4 linked regions of the Canis lupus familiaris genome follow. The protein of the gene in region 1 interacts with the protein of each later gene in a biochemical or structural test. Links are inferred from orthologs where the notes say so. Each region holds a gene or a part of one and is shown in the gene's direction. Other genes may lie near its edges.

What was found. The genes of interacting proteins can lie anywhere in the genome.
Region 2: the proteins of UBC (region 1) and XIAP form a complex in vitro, tested with the Homo sapiens proteins (5 studies listed by BioGRID and IntAct, with this or other methods). The link is inferred for Canis lupus familiaris from reciprocal best matches to the Homo sapiens genes UBC and XIAP.
Region 3: the proteins of UBC (region 1) and TBC1D15 form a complex in vitro, tested with the Homo sapiens proteins (2 studies listed by BioGRID). The link is inferred for Canis lupus familiaris from reciprocal best matches to the Homo sapiens genes UBC and TBC1D15.
Region 4: the proteins of UBC (region 1) and TAB1 form a complex in vitro, tested with the Homo sapiens proteins (2 studies listed by BioGRID). The link is inferred for Canis lupus familiaris from reciprocal best matches to the Homo sapiens genes UBC and TAB1.

What each region holds. Positions count from the first base shown.
Region 1 is NC_049247.1:5,228,786-5,232,845, forward strand, and holds the start of UBC (polyubiquitin-C), read left to right. Parts: upstream 1-1,260; 5' UTR 1,261-1,419; intron 1,420-2,241; 5' UTR 2,242-2,244; coding exon 2,245-4,060.
Region 2 is NC_049260.1:96,096,813-96,100,312, forward strand, and holds part of XIAP (E3 ubiquitin-protein ligase XIAP), read left to right. Parts: intron 1-53; coding exon 54-120; intron 121-1,216; coding exon 1,217-1,259; intron 1,260-3,500.
Region 3 is NC_049231.1:13,772,852-13,776,351, forward strand, and holds part of TBC1D15 (TBC1 domain family member 15), read left to right. Parts: intron 1-83; coding exon 84-134; intron 135-428; coding exon 429-626; intron 627-1,685; coding exon 1,686-1,814; intron 1,815-2,361; coding exon 2,362-2,465; intron 2,466-3,500. UniProt on the Homo sapiens protein: Acts as a GTPase activating protein for RAB7A. Does not act on RAB4, RAB5 or RAB6.
Region 4 is NC_049231.1:26,591,231-26,594,730, reverse strand, and holds part of TAB1 (TGF-beta-activated kinase 1 and MAP3K7-binding protein 1), read left to right. Parts: coding exon 1-78; intron 79-649; coding exon 650-761; intron 762-2,935; coding exon 2,936-3,080; intron 3,081-3,500. UniProt on the Homo sapiens protein: Key adapter protein that plays an essential role in JNK and NF-kappa-B activation and proinflammatory cytokines production in response to stimulation with TLRs and cytokines.

The sequences.
Region 1 (4,060 bases):
ACTTTTCCTATTTGTTTTTTTCTTGAAAGCTTTGAGGGTGAAATGAAAAGATCTTTCCCCCCTCCACACTGAAACAGAGAATAGCTCCAGAAGAGACAGTGGCTGGGGGATTGAGCATGTGAAGGACTTTTCTCTGTAAACTTCCAGAAACTTTTTAAGTTTTCACCATATTCAGGTATTTTATTTTTCAGTCTTTCTCCTTTTATTCAAATGGAATTTTGCCATAGAATTCAATGTAATTAAATTATTTATTAAAGATCTTTATTAAAAAAAAAAAAAGATCTTTATTCATGAGACATCAGAAACAGAGACACAGGCAGAGGGAGAAGCAGGCTCCCTGCGGGGACCTCAACACAGGACTGGATCCCAGGACCCCGGGGTCACGCCCCGAGCCAAAGGCACTCAACCACTGAGTCACCCAGGTGCCCCAAATTTTGTATTTGGGATATTAAATTGTGTCCCCCCCCCCCCCGCCCACGAATGTACAGGCCTGGGATTGGACTTGTGTTTCTGAGACCCCAGGCCTAAGGAAGTTGTACGTCTGAGCTCCACTGAGTGTCCACCAGATGCCTCCGTGTGTGTATCTAGTACAAGGCGGCGTAGGTGGTACAGGAAGGCCAAAGGACATTCTAGAAAGTTCGGTGGACTTCCAGACGCCTCTCGAATAGGTGCGGGCAAAGCGTGCGGGGTTTCTGCGCCCCCTTCTAGCCTTCGGCCGTCCCGCACCCCCTGCTCCCCCGCTGCCCCAGCCCAGCCCGGGCCCACCTCCCGCCCCGCGCCGCGATCTGTCGAGTCATCCGTCCTGTCCGCGCCCGCGCGGGGGGATGGGCGGGCCGCAGGCCCCGGCGCGAGGACCCCTGCGGTCGCGGAGGGGCGAGGGACCACGACGCCCAACCCCTCTCCGCCCAGGGCGGGTCTCGAGAGCCGCGGGGACCGCTGCGGCCGAGGGGAAGGGGTGTCTGGGTCCCGCGGCAGGGGCAGCTCGCCCCGGACGCCCGGCGATTCCGCGCCGGGTTTTCCCGTCTCCCGCGGGCCCTGTTCTCCGCGCTCGCCCCCTCCCCCCTCCCCCCTCGCATCCGGCGCCGGCCACGTCCGCGGACGCAGCACTCAACGGGCGCGCTGATCCCTCCGCGCGGGCGCTCGGGACCGCGGCCCTCTCCTCGCCAGATTCAGCCCTACAGCCCAGCCTTGACAGGTCGACGTTTCCGGGGGCTCCTAGAAGATTCTGGGGCAGTGGTTTTCTCCCTGGAGGCCAGGAAGACGGTGAAAAGTAGTCCCTTCTCGGCGTTTCTGCGCAGGGATCCGCCGGAGCGGCGCGGCCGATTGTTATATAAGGAGGCGCCGGGCGTGGCGCAGGCAGTTCCGTGGAGGCCGGGAGGTCGGTTGTTCGTCTCCGTGCGCTTCTGTCACAGCCGCTTGGTGAGGAGCGGGCCGCTGCGCGGGCCTGGGGGTCTTGGGGCCCTGCAGGGGCGGGGGGCCGGGCAGCCGGCTGCCCGGGGAGTTGCCCGCGGCGCCGGAGCGCGGTTACTCTTGGGGGGGGGGGCGCAGCAAAATGGCGTCCGCTACGGCTCCTGTGCGGGGAGAAGCCGAGGTGCGAGGGGCCGTGAGGAGCCCGGGAGACGGGATGGCTGTGAGCGGGCGAGACGCGCCGAGCCAGTGGGGCCCTGACGGGGCCCTCTGCGCAGTGAGTGGGGGCGGGAAGCCCCTGTGTGCTCCGCGGCCCCGCTGGCGCCACGCTCCGTGTCCGGTCGCGGCGAGTGGGCCCGAAGTGCCGGAGCAGTCCTGCGCCCGTTTGGGGGGAGGGGGCCCGCTCGTCGCGTCGGTCATGTGATGTCATCGCTTTGTCAGCTAACAATCCGGGGTGGGGCCGCGTGTTCCTGTGTGTGGAGCCGGCTTGGGTCAGTCGCGGGGCACAAGGGTTAGGCGGGGCGGGGGAGGGGAGATCCTGCGGATTGTCCGGTCCAGACATCACTGAGGGGGGAGGGGAAGATACGGAAGCCGGCGCCTTCACTTGACCGGTATCCATGCTTTCTCTCCTCCTGGGGCCTGGAACTTGGTTTTGGAGCTTATTTGAGTTTCCAAAACCTGTCCTGTTTCTTCGCCTTAGGTTTTTTGGCGAGGTTTATTTTAGTTCTTGGGTTAGTGTAAAATGACCAGTAACTGTTAGCGTTCTATTCACATGTGAGTGGTCTGTTACACTCCGGATTGTTTTTTTTGTTTTTTTGGGTTTTTTTGTGACAGACAATGCAGATCTTCGTGAAGACTTTGACGGGTAAGACCATCACCCTGGAGGTGGAGCCCAGTGACACCATCGAGAACGTCAAGGCGAAGATCCAGGACAAGGAGGGCATCCCCCCTGACCAGCAGAGGTTGATCTTTGCTGGCAAACAGCTGGAAGATGGGCGCACCCTGTCCGACTACAACATCCAGAAGGAGTCCACTCTGCACCTGGTCCTTCGCCTCAGGGGGGGCATGCAGATCTTCGTGAAGACCTTGACGGGTAAGACCATCACCCTGGAGGTGGAGCCCAGTGACACCATCGAGAACGTCAAGGCGAAGATCCAGGACAAGGAGGGCATCCCCCCTGACCAGCAGAGGTTGATCTTTGCCGGCAAACAGCTGGAAGATGGGCGCACCCTGTCCGACTACAACATCCAGAAGGAGTCCACTCTGCACCTGGTCCTTCGCCTCAGGGGGGGCATGCAGATCTTCGTGAAGACCTTGACGGGTAAGACCATCACCCTGGAGGTGGAGCCCAGTGACACCATCGAGAACGTCAAGGCGAAGATCCAGGACAAGGAGGGCATCCCCCCTGACCAGCAGAGGTTGATCTTTGCCGGCAAACAGCTGGAAGATGGGCGCACCCTGTCCGACTACAACATCCAGAAGGAGTCCACTCTGCACCTGGTCCTTCGCCTCAGGGGGGGCATGCAGATCTTCGTGAAGACTTTGACGGGTAAGACCATCACCCTGGAGGTGGAGCCCAGTGACACCATCGAGAACGTCAAGGCGAAGATCCAGGACAAGGAGGGCATCCCCCCTGACCAGCAGAGGTTGATCTTTGCCGGCAAACAGCTGGAAGATGGGCGCACCCTGTCCGACTACAACATCCAGAAGGAGTCCACTCTGCACCTGGTCCTTCGCCTCAGGGGGGGCATGCAGATCTTCGTGAAGACCTTGACGGGTAAGACCATCACCCTGGAGGTGGAGCCCAGTGACACCATCGAGAACGTCAAGGCGAAGATCCAGGACAAGGAGGGCATCCCCCCTGACCAGCAGAGGTTGATCTTTGCTGGCAAACAGCTGGAAGATGGGCGCACCCTGTCCGACTACAACATCCAGAAGGAGTCCACTCTGCACCTGGTCCTTCGCCTCAGGGGGGGCATGCAGATCTTCGTGAAGACCTTGACGGGTAAGACCATCACCCTGGAGGTGGAGCCCAGTGACACCATCGAGAACGTCAAGGCGAAGATCCAGGACAAGGAGGGCATCCCCCCTGACCAGCAGAGGTTGATCTTTGCCGGCAAACAGCTGGAAGATGGGCGCACCCTGTCCGACTACAACATCCAGAAGGAGTCCACTCTGCACCTGGTCCTTCGCCTCAGGGGGGGCATGCAGATCTTCGTGAAGACTTTGACGGGTAAGACCATCACCCTGGAGGTGGAGCCCAGTGACACCATCGAGAACGTCAAGGCGAAGATCCAGGACAAGGAGGGCATCCCCCCTGACCAGCAGAGGTTGATCTTTGCCGGCAAACAGCTGGAAGATGGGCGCACCCTGTCCGACTACAACATCCAGAAGGAGTCCACTCTGCACCTGGTCCTTCGCCTCAGGGGGGGCATGCAGATCTTCGTGAAGACCTTGACGGGTAAGACCATCACCCTGGAGGTGGAGCCCAGTGACACCATCGAGAACGTCAAGGCGAAGATCCAGGACAAGGAGGGCATCCCCCCTGACCAGCAGAGGTTGATCTTTGCTGGCAAACAGCTGGAAGATGGGCGCACCCTGTCCGACTACAACATCCAGAAGGAGTCCACTCTGCACCTGGTCCTTCGCCTCA
Region 2 (3,500 bases), on another chromosome or scaffold:
ATACTTTACTGATTTATCAGCTACCAAAGTTTAACCTTCTTTTAATTGTTTAGGTGTAAATATCTGTTAGAAGAGAAGGGACAAGAATATATAAACAATATTCATTTAACCCATTCAGTGGTAAGTCACATATTGTAGAATATAAAATATTATTTAATTTGTTTTGCAATGATTTCTTGGTGTAAAATTCACAGTATAGTATCTTAAATTAATAATGTATGGTGGGCTTTAAAGGGGAGATCTTGAAGAATGCTTGTTATTTCTTTTTTTTTTAATTTTTTTATTTATTTATGATAGTCACACAGAGAGAGGGAGAGAGAGGCAGAGACACAGGCAGAGGGAGAAGCAGGCTCCACGCAGGGAGCCCGACGTGGGATTCGATCCTGAGTCTCCAGGATCGTGCCCTGGGCCAAAGGCAGGCGCCAAACCGCTGCGCCACCCAGGGATCCCGAATGCTTGTTATTTCTTAACCTGAAGTAGCTTTGTGAAAGAGGAATCCCCATAAGCTGATTGATTTAACTCACTGTAAATAAAAATGGGTTTGAAGAACTAAAATACTTAATCCCTCAACTTTCTGAAATTAGACTTTTGTATAATGTGTTTTATACTCATAAATAATTGTGAACTTTCCAAAGGCAATATTTTAAATCTCAGAAGCGTGTCTAAATTGATGGCAGCCTGGGATGGCTAAGGTATTGGTACCATGTGGGAAGAGCCATGGACTAGAATGGGAAGCCAGAGTTGTCATTTATGGCTCTACCATGAGCTCCCTTGCCTCAATCGAGTTGTTTAAACTCCCTGAGACTCAGTGCCCTGTCTATAGAGTGAGTGGATTGTGTTAGATGATCTTTTAACTTCCTTCTAGTGGGGATCCCTGAGTGGCTCGGTGGTTTAGCACCTGCCTTCAGCCCAGGGCGTGATCCTGGAGTCCTGGGATCGAGTCCCACATCAGGCTCCCTGCATGGAGCCTGCTTCTCTCCCTGTGCCTGTGTCTCTGCCTCTCTCTCTTTCTGTGTGTCTCATGTATAAATTTTAAAAATCTTAAAAAAAAAAAACCTTCCTTCTAGCTTCATCAGGTTATGCCTCTTGCAAACATTCATATGTTGAATTGGAATAAAGCCAATTTATAAATTCATGATTAGTGTAACTTTTCAAATTGAGGTAATCATCTTCTACCAAAAAGAATTCTAACTTATAGTCCATATTTCTATTTCAGCTAAGAACTGCTGAAAGAACACGGTCATTAACTGAAAGAATTGGTAAGTATGTACATTAAAATAAATATACTTTTAATTTCATTAGCAGTTTATTACAGTTGTTTTTTTATAGGGTAGAGACATAAGCTTATTTTTTCAAGATAATCAAAGTAGATTTATTTGAGATGAGATTGCTATAAATTTAAGGATTAGGAAGTGCCTATAAATTTAAGTCAGTTATAGGTAGCTGGGTGGCTCAGTGGTTGAGCCATCTGCCTTTGGCTCAGGTAATGATCCCAGGGTCCTGGGATCGAGTCCCACATTAGGCTCCCTACAGGGAACCTGCTTCTCCCTCTGCCTATGTCTCTGCCCCTTTCTCTGTCTCTCATGAATAAATAAATAAAATCTTTTTAAAAATTTTAAGTCAGGGCAGCCCAGGTGGCTCAGTGGTTTAGCACGGCCTTCAGCCCAGGGCGTGATCCTGGAGACCCAGGATCGAGTCCCATTTCAGGCTCCCTGCATGGAGCCTGCTTCTCCCTCTGCCTGTGTCTCTGCCTCTGTCTCTCTTCTCTCTCTCTGTGTCTCTCATGAATAAATAAATAAAATCTTTAAAAAAATTTTTAAGTCAGATATTTATATAGTAAGAACATTCATGTGACTCATGTAACACTGTACATTAATTGTACTGGAAAAATTTAAATTATACTAAATTATATTATAAGTTATATAATTATATACATTACATAAAATGATACTAATTATAGTAAAGTAAAAATAAAATTTTAAGAAAGGACATTCCTATGGCGGTTGTGCAGTTAGCTTTTCCAAGCTTAGGAGGAGCAGCTATAGGCTGTCCATTGCCATTTCTGTTAAAATCCCCAAAGGAAGAGAGATAAGTGTATTTTTGTCCCAGGTACTTCTTGAGTTAGCCAGGACCATGAATCCAGTGCTGTACTAATGTGCCATCACCATGGTCGGCCCTACCTGCTTCCTTATCCCATGCCATTCTTGAGCCTCCCCCAGTTTCTTCACAGAGGGGCATGGTTCAGTTTATCTTCTCTTACCTTATAGAAAGGTAGAGATTTTTATCCCAAAGATTATTTACTCATCATAAACATCTTTAAAAGCCAGAAAGATACCAGGATGCCTGGGTGGCTCAGCGGTTGAGCATCTGCCTTCAGCTCAGGGTGTGATCCCGGAGTTCCGGGATGGAGTCCCACATCGGGCTCTTTGCATGGAGCCTGCTTCTCCCTCTGCCTATGTCTCTGCCTTCTCTCTGTGTCTCTCATGAATAAGTAAATAAAATCTTTTTTTTAAAAATCCAGAAAGATACTATGTTAAGCAAAGATGATATTGTTATCTCCACTTTTCAGATGCTGAAACAGAGACCAGGAGGTTAAGTGACCCGCCCACAGTTACATTTACAAATCATTAGTGGAACTGGGACTATTAACGGGGTCTTCTGAAATCTGCATCACACTGTGGATCTCATTTCCAGCTTAGGCATCATGTTTCAAAAATAGTAGAAAGTGTAATTTAGAATATGTCTGCTGATTCCCCATTCCTTATACCATCATCTTTTTGGTATCTTAAGGGTTACAAGACAAGAGAAAACTATAAGTATTCATAAATATACTTAAGAAGGAGAGCCACTTTGATAATATTTGATACAGATTTTGAAATGGGCATAAATAATAAAGTTTAAGAAATCATTTATTGGGATGCCTGGGTTACTCAGTGGTTGAGCATTTGCCTTCAGCTCAGGGCATGATCCTGGGTTCCGGGATTGAGTCCACATTGGGCTCCCTGCAGGAAACCTGCTTCTCCCTCTGCCTGTGTCTCCCCCCCACCCCCACCCCGTTCTCTCATGAATAAATAAATAAGTCTTTAAAAAAATTGAGATATGAAAAGAAACAATAATAAAATAAAATTGAGATGTGTAATTCATGTAGCAAAAATTTCACCCTTATAAACTGTACATTTTAGTGGTTTTTAGTAAATTCACAAGGTTGTGGAACAAACCATCACTGCCATTTAATTCCAGAACATTATTATAATCCCAAAAAAGAAACCCTGTATCCATTAGCAGCCACTCCCCATTGCTGCCCCTTCCCCCTCAGCCTCCAGACAACTACTCATCTACTTCTATCTCTCTGGATGTACCTATTCTAGACATTTCATATGAATGGAATCATAATATGTGGCTTTGAAGTTCATCCATGTTGTGGTACTTATACATGATTACTTCATTCTTTTTTTATGGTAGAAAAAGTTTCCTTAGTGTAGATAATACCATGTTCTGTT
Region 3 (3,500 bases), on another chromosome or scaffold:
AATATTGTGAGCTTTTAAAACTTAGCTATTGAATATTTTCCGTTAGACTAGTGCACACTTCAAGAAATATTTTTTTTGTGAAGGCAGGACTGCTAGACAGAAGAATGCTGTTGTGGGCCATTCATCAATGGAAAGTAAGCACTGCATATATTTGTGATGTATGCAGATTGAATAAAGCCTGCAAATCATTTGTTTATCTGCAATTTAATCAGTAGCATTAACTTGCTGTGTAATATTCTCTTTTAACCAAATGAAAAGATTGGCTTAGAAAATAAAAATTTTTCTTCCCAGAAAAAAAAAAAAATCTTAGAACACTCTGTTTTAGTTCTGATTTCCCTTTAAAAACCTTTGCCCTTTTGCTCATGATAGTGGTATTTTTATTATTTATTTGAATTAATAATGATAATATTTCTCTTCTTACTACATAGAAAATTAAAAAGGATCCTTATACAGCAACTATGGTAGGATTTTCCAAAGTCACAAACTACATTTTTGATAGTCTGAGAGGCAGTGATCCCTCTACACATCAACGACCACCTTCAGAAATGGCAGATTTTCTTAGTGATGCTATTCCAGGTTTAAAGATAAATCAACAAGAAGAACCAGGATTCGAAGTCATCACAAGAGTGAGTGGACATTTATATTAACATAGCTCTCACATTTTAACAGGAGAAATGCTTTTTAAACATGTACTGAATATGATAGAAATAGAAACTCAGTTTTGGTTATATCTGCCTCTTTCTCATAATCCTTTCTTAAAACTTTTTTGCTAATATATCTAACAACTAATACTTGTTCTGCCTCCACATTGTTGGATTGTGCTGCTTCATTTACTGCTTATACTTTTTATTAGTTGGATCTCTTTTCCTTGATTACTTTTTGATGATAATGAACAGGTTGTTTGTTTCATTGAGTGCATAGCAGTGAATATGAGCCTTGCATATTGTTCCAAGTTCTCTTCCTAATTTATATGTTTTCTCAGTAGGCACCAGGGGCAGCTAGTCAGGACACTACTCTAGGGCTTTTATGCTTATGTGAATCTTTTCTTTTTTAAGGAAGATGGATCTTGGCCCTGAATTGTGGCCAATCTTTATATATGCCCAACAAGACTTTTGAATTTGCTACAATTCTAGGCTGTACATAGTTGGAACATTATAAATACAAAAATTGTAATACTTGAAGGGCTTATCTTGCAAATGGCATTTTTAAATTACCAACATCTGTTAATTGAATAAAAAACTGTAGAAAATACCAAGTGGAACTAATGGATCACGAATCAATTCTGAGAGCTACAAATTTTAGTTTGGAAGGAAAGCTAATTTTAGAATATGTTTAGTGGAATAATACTGTCTTTTCAAATAATAACAGCACACCATTTAATTTGAAGAGTCCCTTATGGAATTTACATGTCGAATGTTTTGTACTTATGTAATTGAAACTCAAAATAGCAAATATATTCCTGTCTCTGAATTTATTACTCTGTTATTTGTATGGTTAGTAGGAAGGAAAGTGTATGGAATGCTATTAAAGTTCATAAACAAAACATTGAAAAATAAGGGAAGATACTAGAAATGTTAGAAATTAACATTTGTGCCTGAGTGATAGTGTTTTAGTTATCGTTTCCGTGTACCTTGATTTAATATCACCGGTTAAAAGTGTATTCCATATTGCTTATCTTATTTTAGATTGATTTGGGAGAACGACCTGTTGTTCAAAGGAGAGAGCCAGTATCACTGGAAGAATGGACTAAGAACATTGATTCTGAAGGAAGAATTTTAAATGTAGATAATATGAAGCAGATGATATTTAGAGGGGTAAATACCTTAATATGGATGATATTTGAAACTGCTGATATTTAAATTTTCTTTTTTGGAGGGATGTGTAGAGTGTAGAGGGAGTCAGGGAATGAATTCCTTTTTGAATAATGATGCCTTAAAATCCCTGTAGGACAGAGACATCACAATCTTTGTGATGTCCCTTAGGATTGCGCGGTGGGGAGGGCGGGAGACCATTAAGCCTAGGGAAGAAGAGTTTTCCTTACTTAAAGTTCTGTGGATTATATGAAGGAGGCGTGTATGTACCCCACTGGTAGTCGCCTTATTTAATAAGGATTGGACTTAGAAAGACTAATCAGTCCCACTGTCTTCTATAGAACAATACTCTGCATTGTTTAAGCTTTCTGAAAGTTTACATCTTCAGAACTAGAGGTCAAAAACAAGTTAGTATTCACTGAATTGAGTGAATATGTATAAAAACTGTCTCTTAAATATTAATCTTCCTGTATATTTATATGCAAGTTTTGTGAACTTAAAGTATTCCATTCTTTTTTACAACTGTGTTTAATATGCATGTTTTCTTTAGGGACTTAGTCATGCATTGAGAAAGCAAGCATGGAAATTTCTTTTGGGTTATTTTCCTTGGGACAGTACCAAGGAGGAAAGAACTCAATTACAAAAACAGAAAACGTAAGTAAGATCTTTTGTATGTTCACCAAAGAAATTAGTAACTCACTCATACAAAATAGTATAGGGCTTCTAGATGATTATTTTAAATAGATGAGGGTATGGGAAAAATAATTTTGTTTTCATCTTTATAGTTGAAAAATTGAGCTCTGTACTTTAAACTAGTCATTTCAAGCACTCCTTATAGTTGTGTTGGTGAATATGTAGAAATATAGTAAAAAAAAAAATTCCACTTCCTTTGTAAAAACATTTTGCATACTTGAAAGATAACTAATTAGATAGGGGTTTTTAAATACATCATCTTGATCCATTTTTGCAATTCATTATGAAATTATAAAAATGGCCACAAGAAGTATATTTACTCTTTAGGTTAATTACCTTTAAATTATTTTCCTGGTGCACTTGTAAATAAACTAGTCTTTCCTTCTTTTGGAAAACTTTCTGTTTTTTTAAGGTATTTCTCAGACTTGAAACTTAGACCAACTTTCCAGTTACCCTTCTCACTCCCAGTTCATCAGGGTAGCCTTTGATTGAAAGCTCACTCTGAATCATTATGTACATATTTAAACCTTCAGACAATCCTTTCTCTTTCAATACATTTGCCAATTATTCTAAGACATTTCACATTAACAGGTTTGTGAATAAACTGGTTAGAAAAATGGAAATCTAAAAAAAAAAAAAAAAAAAGAAAAAAAAAAGAAAAATGGAAATCTTATGTCACATTAAAAAAACAGCAATTTGTAGATTTGTATTTATAATTATTCACAAACTTTAGTGGTTAAAATATTTAATAACTAGAATACTTTTAGATATCATATTAAGGATTGAGGTAAATGTTTTTCTTAAAATCATACCTAAATTATTCTAGTAGTTTAAGCAAAGTTTATGGTATGTATAAGGTTATTTTATTTTTCCTTTGTATTTAATTATGTATCATAAGTAAACATTTCATTATCCTATTTATAACCTCACATCTCACTAGCATCATAAATGCTATGATATATTGTTTATTTTTTTTTTTTGCTATGATATATTGTT
Region 4 (3,500 bases), on another chromosome or scaffold:
ACGGCCTGCAGGTGACACAGCTGAACGTGGACCACACCACGGAGAATGAGGACGAGCTCTTCCGCCTCTCTCAGCTGGGTACGTCTGAGTGGGGCCGACCCCCACAGCTCACTCTGTTCTCTTCTGGTAGCCGTGAAGGGAGAGGCATGAAGTGCTCGGGCTGTGACCTTGGGCTTGGGACCAGCCTTCCTGGGGTTGGATCCCAGCTCTGCCCCTTACTAGCAGGTGATGTTCAGAATTTCAGAAGGTTTTTGTGCCTCAGTTTCCCCATCTGTGTAACAAGGATTGTAGCAGCGCTTACCTTGTGAGGATTAAGAGTCCATGTGTCTAAAGTGTTTCCAAGAGTACCGAGTATGCACTAGGTCCCGTGATTGGTGGAGACTAGGAGGCCAGCAAGATCCCGGTTGCAGCCACCACGGCCTAGCCTCCCTGCCCAGGGCCTCTGGGTGTGGTGGGCGTTCTGATGGGCCTGGCCACAGGGCACCGGGGAGCTTTGGGTGAGCCACTCCAGAGGGCACCCTGCTGTGACTTCATCCTCTGTTCCCTGGGTCCTCATTGCCTTACTTTGGGGACTGTGTCTGTATGCCCTTCCTTTTGTTCTTCATGATGAAAAGGACCTGGGATTGTCCTGTTGTTCTCCCTCTGGCAGGTTTGGATGCAGGAAAGATCAAGCAGGTGGGAATCATCTGTGGGCAGGAGAGCACCAGGCGCATAGGGGATTACAAGGTCAAGTATGGCTACACAGACATCGACCTACTGAGGTAGGTGGCCAGCCCAGCTGCCGCGTGCGTAAGGCCAGAGGGCCTGGACAGAAGCAGATTTGGGGCTCTCGGGACAAAAGGTGCAATTGAGGTAGTTGAGAGCCCAAGAAGACTTTTCTTCCTCCTAGAGAGGTTGGTGTGTGGTCCTAGATCCAACAGGCCAGGAAGTGGGGTTCCATAGAGCTGGGCTGGCAAGGGGTCAGGTTGGGGATCTGAGTCAGAGCCAGGGACAGCAACCAGTGCCTGGGGCCCAATGGGAGTGTCCAGGGTTGGCATGAGCCACCTGGTATGAATGGGGACGGACGACAGGCCTCCTGGTCAGTGCTGTGCATGCCCGGCTCAGGGCAGAGGTCCAAGATGAAGTAGATGCCGCCCTCCGTGGACCCTTCCCTTTTGGCTGCCACCCAGCGCTGGCAGCAGCAGATGGGCAGTGGTGGTGATCGTGGGCCGTCATTGTAACGAGCCAGTGCCCAGCTCTTTACACACCATCTTACTCAACCCTCACTCAGACCCCGTGAGGGAGGTCCTGTTGTTGCCCGGAAGGTATGTTCACATGAAGAAACAGATGTGGCGACATCAGGGAGCCTGCCTGGTCACAGGGCTAGCGGGGGCTGAGGCAGGACTTGAACCTGGATGCAGGTTCATCCTGAATCCAGAGCAACATCCCAACATTGACTGGGAAGATAGACATGTGTCTGTGGTGTGTGTATGTATGTGTGTGGGTTGGTGTGTGTTTGTGTGTGGTATGCAGGGGTGTGGTTTGGGGGTGTATGCAGTATGTAGATGTGTGTCGGGGGGTATGTGTGTAGGAGTGTGGTATGTGTGGGAGTGTGGTGTGTTTGTGTGTGGTATGTGTGTGGTATGCAGGGGTGTGGTTTGGGGGTATAGGTGGTGTGTATATGTGTGTGTGTGGTATGTGTGTGGGAGTATGGTATGTGTGGGGTTGTGTGTGGGGGGTGTAGTTGGGGGTTGTGGTTTGGTTTCTGGGGTGTGGGGGGGGAGGGTATGGTGTCAGGGTGTGTGGTTGAGGGGCTGTGGCGTGGGAAGGAAGGGAGGGTGTGTGGGGTTGTGGTTTGGGTCTCTGGGGTGTGTGTGTGTTGGGGGAGGTGTGTGTGGCCTGTCACAGCATTTAATGTCACAACCAGAGCCGTGAGGGACTCATACCAAAGACGCCAGCGTCAGAGCCAGACTCGTCATAGCCTAGAAAGCATGAGTTACAACTTGTTCTCCCGAGATTTAAACAATTGAGTTTGGAAATTTTCGTCTCTAATTTGTGAGGTTCTGTTTGCTTAATTGGAAAGTACGTTTGTGGCTTAAAACAATTCAAGTAGCACCAAGGATGTACGGTGAAAAGTAAGTTTCCCTCCCACCTGAGCCCGGACTCCCTCCCAGACGCTGCTGGTCCTGCTCGCTTGTGTCCTGCCCCAGAGCCCCTGTGCACGTGGATGTGGGGGTGTGTTTCTAAGACACCCGCAGGCGCTGGCGTACTGTCTCCCAGCACCTCCCTTGTTTCCTGATGGGTGCTGCCCTCCCCTGCTGTGCAACACTGGGTGGGTTGGCAGCGGCACTCTCCATAACAGCTGCCCAGGTCCCAGAGCTGGGCTGTGGCCACGCTCCCCAGCCCCCTACTCATGGGCTGCCCGGATGTTCCAAGCTTTGCTCTGCCATGTGCCATTGCCAGGAACATCTTAGACTCGCCTCCGTGTGTGTGCACACGTACTGGAGCTCTGTGACATCTTCTCGCTCTGCTGGCGCCTCAGTAAAGGGTCCCTGTGCACCCGGGGTGCGCGTGGAGTCTGAGTTGGCGTGGATACTTGTTTTGGAGGAGCGCGGGAGAAGTGGGCTTTTAAAAGTGATCCCTACTCACCCTCTTGCTGTCCCGACTGTCACCGCATAGGCTCTGTGGACAGGAGCTGAGGACTGGGGCCAGGATGGGGCACCCGATGTCCACTGCCCTGACCCCAGCTGCCCCCTGGCTCTCCTGGGCCTCAGCTTTACGTTAGGCCCACCCTCAGAAGACAGTTCTGTTTTTCTTGTTTTCTCTTTCCTCTATTTCTTTTCCTCTTATTAGATGTGCATTTAACTTTACATCCTGGGCAGATTCTTGCCCTTAGCAGAAGAAATGTCCCCTGGCGCCCTCCCAACCATGGCTCTCCCTCACTTTCTGCCTATAGCGCCGCCAAGTCGAAGCCGATTATCGCAGAGCCCGAAATCCATGGTGCACAGCCCCTGGACGGGGTGACTGGCTTCCTGGTGCTGATGTCGGAGGGGCTCTACAAGGCTCTGGAGGCAGCCCACGGGCCTGGCCAGGCCAACCAGGTGAGCTGGGCCCTGGCACAGCACAGCCAGCCAGCCCTCCTCGGCTCCACGGTCCTCAGGGACCCAGAGCCCTGGTTCTCAAAGGCCATCTCCAGACAACTTCTCAGTCTTCAAAGCTGGGAGAAGAAAAAACCCAGTGCTCTAAGAACACCCATCCCCCCCCAAAGCTGTGCTTGTTCGGGGCTTGAAGCAGGGTCAGTCTTGGGGGCCTGAGCAAAGCCTGAGGGGAAGAGGGGGAGAAGGAAGTGAATTTGCATGGGCACATGGTTCTGGAATATCCGAGAAGGGCCCTGGGCTGAGAAAGAACACCCAGAGCCTATAGCCTGAGCCTCAGGCTCCCTCCGCCACCTTCCCCTCCCTCCCCTTCCCTCCTAGCTGCCCTCACTTAAACAGCTTGCTCCTTGTCTCTGATGCCAGGTG